Oryctolagus cuniculus: one gene and its partner. The protein of the gene in region 2 interacts with the protein of the main gene of each other region in a biochemical or structural test. Links are inferred from orthologs where the notes say so. Each region holds a gene or a part of one and is shown on either strand. Other genes may lie near its edges.

Evidence for each region. The genes of interacting proteins can lie anywhere in the genome.
Region 1: the proteins of MIS18BP1 (region 2) and MIS18A form a complex in vitro, tested with the Homo sapiens proteins (2 studies listed by BioGRID). The link is inferred for Oryctolagus cuniculus from reciprocal best matches to the Homo sapiens genes MIS18BP1 and MIS18A.

What each region holds. Positions count from the first base shown.
Region 1 is NC_091435.1:12,608,756-12,613,434, forward strand, and holds part of MIS18A (protein Mis18-alpha), read left to right. Parts: intron 1-1,388; coding exon 1,389-1,511; intron 1,512-4,463; coding exon 4,464-4,560; intron 4,561-4,679. UniProt on the Homo sapiens protein: Required for recruitment of CENPA to centromeres and normal chromosome segregation during mitosis.
Region 2 is NC_091443.1:30,731,073-30,735,751, reverse strand, and holds part of MIS18BP1 (mis18-binding protein 1), read right to left. Parts: intron 2,538-4,679; coding exon 2,374-2,537; intron 1,836-2,373; coding exon 1,687-1,835; intron 1-1,686. UniProt on the Homo sapiens protein: Required for recruitment of CENPA to centromeres and normal chromosome segregation during mitosis.

The DNA of each region.
Region 1 (4,679 bases), on a different chromosome or scaffold from region 2:
TTAGGTCTAAAATTTTACTGTGGATTACTCACGTAGTGGCAAATTGAATGAGCCAAGTCAGCAAGGCTTTTTGGAAACGGTGATTCTGAGGCAGATTAAGGAAGACAGGTTGACAGGAAGGGAGTATATTCAGATGTTGCAAGCCAGGCTGAGGAGAGTCCAGGATGAAGGAACAAGTAAGTGGAGAGGCGGCGGGTCATGAAGTACGTGTGAGTGACCTGTGTGGGGCGTGCCTGGGGTTGCTGGGAGAGTGCTGGTGGTGAGTAGATCCTTTAACAGGCAGCTCTAACACACAGATCACAGGCACACATCCGAGACTTTTTAAAAACCCCTTAACGAGGGAGCTGGAAGCTGGTTCAGGGTCGGCAGATCGAGTTATGGCCCCTCAGCCTTTGGGGCTTGCTTTGCTACTCACAGGGATGGTTTGTGTCCCTGCCAGACTAAACTCACTTACGGTGCATTGGTGGGCTTTCTTCAGGCTGTCATTTAACTTTAGAGGCTTTTTCTAAACTGGGCTGTGTTAGCTTTCTGCCAATGCGGGGGCAGGCAGAGGCCCTGGGCTGGATGCCTCTCTGTGAACCCAGGTGATTGAGTTCTGCAGTGTCTGTAAGCTGTTTTCGTGCCGTGACGGCAGAGGCCAGTAGTAAGGATTAGTTATTCTCTGCGTCATTACACAGGAGTTGCCTCTCCCTGCCGTTGTTGGGCTCCTTGGACAATGGCATTAAAAGGACGCATAGAATCTTTTTGTCTTATTTCCCAATTTTCTTTATAATCAAAGAGTTTACATTCTTTATTTTTCTTAAGATTTATTTATTGAAAGATAGCATTACGGAAAGAGGGAGAGAGAGCTTCCATACGCTGGTTCACTCCCCAATGGCCACAGCAGCCACGGCTAATTCAGGCTGAAGCCAGGACCTGGAACTCCATCCGGGTCTCCCATGTGAGTAGCAGGAGCCCAAGCATTTGGACCATTTTCTGCCACTTTCACAAGCATGTTAGCAGGGAGCTGGATTGGAAGTGGAGCAGCTGGGACTTGAACCTGCCTCATATGGGATGCTGACATCTCAAGCGACAGCTTAACCTGCTGGGGCACAGCCCTGGCCGCAGAGTTTGCGCCGTAACACATGCACTTGATGGTCTCCTCCTCTTGTTGCCGTGTGCATGTTCCTGCCGTCAGATGTGGATGGCAGTGTGGCTGTCCTTGCATTTCTATTATAAATGTCTTACTCTCATCTTTTTCCTTCCTTATATGAATACATGTAACTAAACATGGTCAGAATGACAAACCCTGGAAACCTGAGTGTTGAAGCGTTTGTGGGTGCCAGCAGTGGGTGTTCTGTAGCAAGTTGCTGCTTTGCTTCCTAAAGCGGTGCTATGTCTTTACGCAGCGTCCTCGAGACCCTGTACTGCGTCGGCTGCTCCCTCAACCTCGGCTACATATACAGATGCACCCCCAAGAGCCTTGATTACAAGAGGGACTTGTTTTGCCTCAGTGTTGAAGCCATTGAAAGGTAAGTTTGATATTTAAGTGACCGCTGGGTAACTGACCTCTCAGAAAGTTAAGTTTGCAGAGAAATTGCTATGAAGACGTCAGAGCTAAACCACGCTTAAACGACATTTCCAGGTAGTACTTTCTGACATTAAAGCCAGTTAATTTCTCTCTCTGTCTCTCTGTTTTTCTCTTTGCTTTGCTCTAATTTTTTGATATTGGAAAAATCAGCACTCCTAAATTGTGGCTTTTTTTTGGAGTAAAAATATGTTCTTTTTTGTTTGTTTGTTTTTTGACAGAGTGGACAGTGAGAGAGAGACAGAGAGAAAGGTCTTCCTTTGCCGTTGGTTCACCCTCCAATGGCCGCCGCGGCCGGCGCACCGCGCTGATCCGATGGCAGGAGCCAGGTGCTTCTCCTGGTCTCCCATGGGGTGCAGGGCCCAAGTACTTGGGCCATCCTCCACTGCACTCCCTGGCCACAGCAGAGAGCTGGCCTGGAAGAGGAGCAACCGGGACAGAATCCGGCGCCCCGACCGGGACTAGAACCCGGTTTTGTGCCGGCGCTGCAAGGCGGAGGATTAGCCTAGTGAGCCGCGGCGCTGGCCTGTGTTCATTTGTTTTTAAAAATGGAATGAACTTGAGAAGGATTCTTTTTAAGTATTTTCTGGGGCTATGTCTCAGTGGTTAAGTTGCTGCTTGGGATGTCCCCAACCCATAGGACAGGGCCTGCTTTAATTCTGATGCAGCTTCTTGCTGATGTAAACCCGGGAGGCAGTAGATGCTGGCTCAGGTACTTGGGTGGGTCCCTATTACCCATGTGGGAGACACAGACTGACTTCCAAGCTCCTGGCTTCGGCCTGGGCCAGCCCTGTGTGTTGCAGGCATTTGGGGAGTGAACAGTGGATGGAAGGTTCCTGTCTTTCTCTGCCTTTCAAATAAAATGAGAGTAATTTTTCTAAAAAGCGATATTGTGTTACAGAAGAAAATACGTGGGAGGTTTTACTGCAGGAGATCATGGTTGTCAAGGCTGTTTTTCCTGAACAGTTGATTTTAGGAGACAGGCTACTTCTTGGGCAGAATTTTTTTTAAAAAAATAAGTTTGTGTGTGTGTGTATTTTTTAGATTTATTTATTTGAAAGGCAAAGCCACAGAGAGAAGCAAAGCTACAGAGGGAGAGAGTGAGGAGAGAGAGATATTCCATCTGCTGGTTCTCTGCCCGAATGGCTGCAAGGGCCAGGGCAGGACAAGGCCAAAGCCAGGAGCCAGGAGCCCCATCTGGGTCTCCCACATGGATGCAGGAGCCTAAGGACTTGGCCATCTTCTGCTGCTTTTCCAGGTGCATTAGAGAGAGCTGGATCGCAAGTGGAACGTTAGGGACTAGCACCAGCACCCAAGTGGGATGCTGGATTTGTAGGTGGTAGCTTAACCGGTTATGCCACAGCACTGGCCCCTTGGGGTGGAATTGTAATGCCAGGGCTGCCCTCTGTGCCATTTATTTACAGTTTTATCAGTTGCTCGGTGCCATGTCATTTTCCCACCGCATCTTTGGTTTTCTAAGTAGGATGTCGGTTGCCTTCTGCAGTTTGCCTACCACGCTATTTTCCTCTGCCTTGCCAGGCATATTGGCAGAAAGCTGGAGCAGAGACAGAGCTGCGGGGACTCCCGCCAGCACTCCGCTGTGGGATGCCGGGAGCTGGCGCCACAGCCCTGGCCCCTCGAGTTTTCTTTGAGAGATGCTGGCATCTCCGTCCTTACTGTTTAGATGTAGCTGGTTGCCAGCCCAGAGCTGGTTTCCCTCCATTGCCAGCTGATTCTTCTGCTACTTCCTACTTTCCTAAACCATCGCATCTTGTAACAATGAGAGGCAAACACAGTGTAAGTTGGAGAATAACTGTTACAGTTGCTGACATTTGGTTAATCAAGTATTGACCACCACAATTTATTACTTAAAGTCTCATTTAGGAGCAGGTGTTTATCCTACTGGTTAAGGCAGCTGTGTTCCACATTGAAGTCCCTGGGTTTATTTTATTTTATTATTATATTTTACTTTAAGATTTATTTTATTTATTTGAAAGTCAGAGAGAGAGAGAGAGAGAGGTAGAGCCAGAGCCAGAGAGAGAGAGAGGTCTTCCATCTACTGGTTTCCTCCCCAAATGACCACAGTGGAGCTGAGCTGATCAGGATCCAGGAGCCTCCTCAGGGTCTCCCATGTGGGTGCAGGGACTTGGGCCATCTTCTACTGCATTCCCAGGCCATAGCAAAGAGCTGGATTGGAAGTAGAGCAGCCAGGACTCGAACTGGTGCCCATATGGGATGCCGGCACTGCTGGCCAGGGCTTTCACCGCTGTGCCACAGCGCCGGCCCCAAAGTCCCTGGGTTTAATTCTGAGCTCCTGATTCCAGCTTCTGGCTAACGCACACCCTGGGAGGCAGCACATAGTTGGCCCAAGTAGTTGGGTCCATGCCACCCACGTGAGAGAACTGGATCGAGTTTCCAGCTCTGGCCATTGCGGGCACTGGGGAGTGAGACAACAGACGGGAGGTCGTGCTCTTGCTCTCTCCCCTGCCCCTCTTAAGTAAAAAATTGGAAAAAAGGTCAAATTGGAAGTGGCACATGTTTCTGACGTTAGATAAAGCAAGACAGGGGAGGCTTCTTCCGGGTCCTTAGGTGGCTGAGCTATGAGTGATGATGCTTTGCCACCCAGTTTGCCTAGAGCAGGTTTGTGCCAGTAATGAGATACTTGTAATGCTGGAGAATTGGGATGTAGAGCTGTGCAGACAAAGCCGCTGTGGAGGAAGGCATGAGGTACGTAGTAGAGCTTCCTGCGTGGTCCCTCTTCACAAGAATAGCTCTCTTTGCTGACTTGGTGTTGATCTACTGTGGAATGTACTTAGAGTGCTCATGTTATTAACTGCCATTCATTTAGTATTTGTTCCCTTACTGCATCTTAACTTTGTTCTGTGCTGTTCCTCAGCTATGTTTTGGGATCCTCTGAAAAACGGATAGTGTCAGAAGATGAAGAGCTGTTTAATCTTGAAAGCAGAGTTGAAATAGAAAAGTCTCTAAAACAGGTAACTTTTTCTGCACATTTTCTATCCTTTTGTGAACAGCTTCTATCAGTGAACAAGTGCTCTTTGTGGTGCCACCTGCTTGTTGTTGTTGTTGTTTTTAACATTTATTTATTTGAGAA
Region 2 (4,679 bases):
GTTTCTGGTAGCACTACCAGCTAAAAACTTTCACTTTAAAAAAAAAATATGGCTGACTATTAATCTTTCCCTTAGTGGCTTCTGGGTTTTACATCATGGTTAAAGACCTTCAGGCCAGCGCCGTGGCTCACTAGGCTAATCCTCCGCCTGCAGCGCCGGCACCCCAGGTTCTAGTCCTGGTTGGGGCGCTGGATTCTGTCCCGGTTGCTCCTCTTCCAAGTCCAGCTCTCTACTGTGGCCCGGGAAGGCAATGGAGGATGGCCCAAGTGCTTGGGCCCTGCACCCTCATGGGAGACCAGGAGGAAGCACCTGGCTCCTGGCTTTGCATCAGCGCAGTGCGCCAGCCGCAGCAGCCACTTGGCGGGGGTGAACCAACGAAAAAAGGAAGACCTTTCTCTCTCTCTCACTGTCTAACTCTGCCTGTCAATAAAAAAAAAAAAAAAAAAAAAAAGACCTTCACGAGGTATCTTTCTCTGAAGGGAGGAGAGAACGTCCACTTTGATTATGGCCTTGTCTAAATAAGGTCGGAGTTTGTGAACTCAAGAGGCTTCTATAAGCCTTGGCAGCTCATGACAAGAGCCTCGGGTGATTACTGACGTCATAAATAAGAGTGTCAGTTGTTAAATCAACAAAAGTCATTGTGTACTTACTCCCTATGCAGGATCTCCTTCCCTAATGTACTGTACTATGCAAATTAACGGTAAAACTAATATTCAAACAATACTTTATATTTTCTGTGTCTGTGTGGCTGCAATCTGTTGAAATCTTTAGTATATACTAAGTTGATCTTCTGTATATAAAAATAATTAAGAATGAGTCTTGGTGAAGAATGGGATGGGAGAGGGAGTAGGAGATGGGATGGTTTGCGAGTGGGAGGGAGGTTTATATTTATTAAATAAAAGTTTTCTGGCCGGCGCCGCGGCTCAATAGGCTAATCCTCCACCTAGCGGCGCCGGCACACTGGGTTCTAGTCCAGGTCGGGGTGCCAAATTCTTTCCCGGTTGCCGCTCTCCAGGCCAGCTCTCTGCTGTGGCCCGGGAAGGCAGTGGAGGATGGCCCAAGTGCTTGGGCCCTGCACCCACATGGGAGACCAGGAGAAGCACCTGGCTCCTGCCTTTGGATCAGCGTGGTGCGCCGGCCGCAACGCGCCAGCCGTGACGGCCATTGGAGGGTGAACCAACGGCAAAAGGAAGACCTTTCTCTCTCTCTCTCTCTCTCACTGTCCACTCTGCCTGTCCAAAAAAAAAAAAAAAGTTTTCTTAAAAAAAGCTTTTCACAAGTAGAAGAAAGAAATTTGAGAGAAGTCTAATATCTTAAATCATTAAATAACCTTTTTTATCACAAACAAACAAAAAAAAGACCTTCACTAAGCTGAGGTTATAATTCTCTACATTTTCTTTAGGAATTTTTTTGACAGGCATTTTTTAAGTTTAATTTTTTTACATGTACAACATTCACCCATATGGAATTTATTCTGATGTAAATATGAGCTATTTGTTGAATACTACTGAAATATTACTGAATTACTGATTGTCCTTAATATCTAGGAATTATTCATTCTTGATTGTTTTTATAATGACCATTCTTCCCATTAATCACATCTTTGCCCCTGAACTCATAAAATGTTTACATTTTCTGCAGTGTGCTGATGGAAAAGAATTAACATACCAATGCATAAATGTTTACCTATTTATGGAAGCTAACATGCCAGGACTGACATGCTGACATTGAGGAGTTTTTGCCAATGGAAAGATAACTGATGATGGAGTTGTTGGATTTCTGTCCATATTTGGCAGAATATCATCATCATCTTGACTGTATTGGAAACTTGGCAACTAGAAAACAAACATTTGTTATCAACAGGCACTCAAAATATGGATTTTCTCATGATCACAAAATGTTTTCTGGTGGCCTCAATTATTTCTAGGTTGATGACAGAGGATTTTTCTCTAAAAAAGCTTGATTTCTCTTATGTAAACAGAAACTATAACTCCTTTTCTAAAGGTTGTGTAGGGGCTAGCATTGTGGTGCAGCGGATTAAGCCTCTATTTGGGATGCCAGCATCCCACTCAAGTCCTAGCTACCCTGCTTCTGATCCAGCTCCCTGCTCATGTGCTTGGGACAGCAGTGGAGGAAAAGCCCAAAATACCTGGGCCCCTGCTACCTGAGTAGGAGACTGGAATAGAGCTCAAAGCTCCAGGCTTCAGCTTCTCAAACTGTGAGAATAACACATACCAGCAGACTGCTCACTATATCACGCTTTGGTCGTAGATCTGTGTAGGCTCTCACTCAATGCCCTTAACAATAACCACCAATTAAAAAAAATTAAGGTAAAGTCAATATAAAGAAAAGAGTGATGTTTAAGATCCTTACCAGTACTCTTCGATTCTGTAAAGGTGTTGTAGTGCTGAAAAAATCATCATGGTCATCTTTTGGCAACTGTTCCAGAAATTCCCTCATTTGTTGCTTCCTTTTTAGAGTTCCCACTTTGGCAGTTATCTTAATAGTTTGGTTCTTGTCAGCATCACCTCTCTTGCCTTAAGATTCAGCAAAACATTTGGTAAGGATTTGATCATTTATAGTAAATGCTCTATAAAGTTAACTGCCTCTTGTAAGTTGCCTATATAACAAATGATTCCTTCTACACTGGGATGTGTGTATTATAATAACCCCACATTATAATCATGAAGAAAATATGTAAGAATAGGCAAGGTAAAGTTCAAAATGCTTGTAAGCTATGAGAATAACCACCTTCTACAACTCACTCTCCTGAATGCTTAATTTATCGATAAAATATAAACCTAACTGAATTATTATAGGGATGCTGGATACTCTCTAAAGCTACATATAGGTAGGAAAAAGCAAGCTAGGTTAGGTTAGACTTCGATAGACAGCTATAGGGGGCTACACGATGAGAGTACCGCTAGTTACTAAGCAACACAAAAACTAAATACATAACTTAAAAAGCAAAAATCTTGGGGCTAGTGTTGTGGTGTAATGGATTGAGCCAATGCATGCAAGAGCGGCATCCCATATTGGCGCCAGTTTGAGTCCTGAATTCTCCACTTCTGATCCAGCTCCCTGCTAATGCACCTATCTATGCTAGAGACCCATGGAAGCTCCTGACTTTGGCCCAGCCCAGCCCTGGCCATTGCAGAGTGAACAGTGGATGGAAGATCTGTCTATCTGTTATTCTGCCTTTCAAATTAATAAATCTTTAAAAAAATAAATAGACTACAGATAAAGGATGAAAGCTGGCTGAGCCAGTAGATTGGATAAAGAAATTACGGGATATGTACTCTATAGAATACTATACAGCATGGCCGGCGCCATGGCTCACTAGGCTAATCCTCCACCTTGCAGCGCCGGCACACCGGGTTCTAGTCCCAGTCGGGGCGCCAGATTCTGTCCCAGTTGTCCCTCTTCCAGGCCAGCTCTCTGCTGTGGCCAGGGAGTGCAGTGGAGGATGGCCCAAGTCCTTGGGCCCTGCACCCCATGGGAGACCAGGATGGGTACCTGGCTCCTGCCATCGGATCAGCGCGGTGCGCCGGCCGCGGTGGTCATTGGAGGGTGAACCAACGGCAAAGGAAGACCTTTCTCTTTCTCTCTCTCTCACTGTCCACTCTGCCTGTCCAAAAAAAAAAAAAAGGATGAAAGCTTAGGACCTTTAGTTAACAAACGAGAAAATTGGAGATGGAGACATTTGGAACCAGAGAGTGCCCTTTTGGAAGGAATGATAGGTAAGAAGGCAAGATGGGCTCAAAGCAAGATGAACACTTTTCTTTCTTTTTTTTTTTTTTTTAAATAATTATTTTATTTATTTGAAAGAGTTACAGAGAGATGGGGTTGGAAGGAGGCCTTTGATTCCAATGGTTCACTCCACAAATTTGACAATGGCCAGAGCTGAGCTGATCCGGAGCCAGGAGCCAGGATCTTCTTCCAGGTCTCCCACACGGGTGCAGAGGTCCTAGGCCTTGGGCCATCTTCTACTGCTTTCCCAGGCCATAGCAGAGAGCTGGATCAGAAGTGAGCAGCCGGCCGGCGCCGCGGCTCACTAGGCTAATCCTCCGCCTAGCGGCGCCGGCACACCGGGTTCTAGTCCCGGTCGGGGCGCCGGATTCTGTCCCGGTTGCCCCTCTTCCAGGCCAGCTCTCTGCTGTGGCCAGGGAGTGCAGTGGAGGATGGCCCAGGTGCTTGGGCCCTGCACCCCATGGGAGACCAGGAAAAGCACCCGGCTCCTGGCTCCTGCCATCGGATCAGCACGGTGCGCCGGCTGCAGCGCGCTGGCCGCGGCGGCCATTGGAGGGTGAACCAACGGCAAAGGAAGACCTTTCTCTCTGTCTCTCTCTCTCTCACTGTCCACTCTGCCTGTCAAAAAAAAAAAAAAAAAAAAAAAAAAAGAAGTGAGCAGCCAGGACTCGAACTGGTGCCCGTATGGGATGCCACCACTGCAGGCTTTGGCTTTAACCTGTTATGTCACAGAGCCAGCCCCGTACACTTTTCTTAAAGGGCCCCATACAAACTTTCCAGAGGATATAAAACCCCCAGATCATTTCCCTTCATTGGATTTTTTCTTACTGAGAAAACCCCTCATGGTTGCTGTCCAGGAGTCTTCTCTCTCCTCTTTTCAGTAAGGCCTTTCTGTTTCAGAAGGTCCCTCTCACGGGCACGTGGCTGTG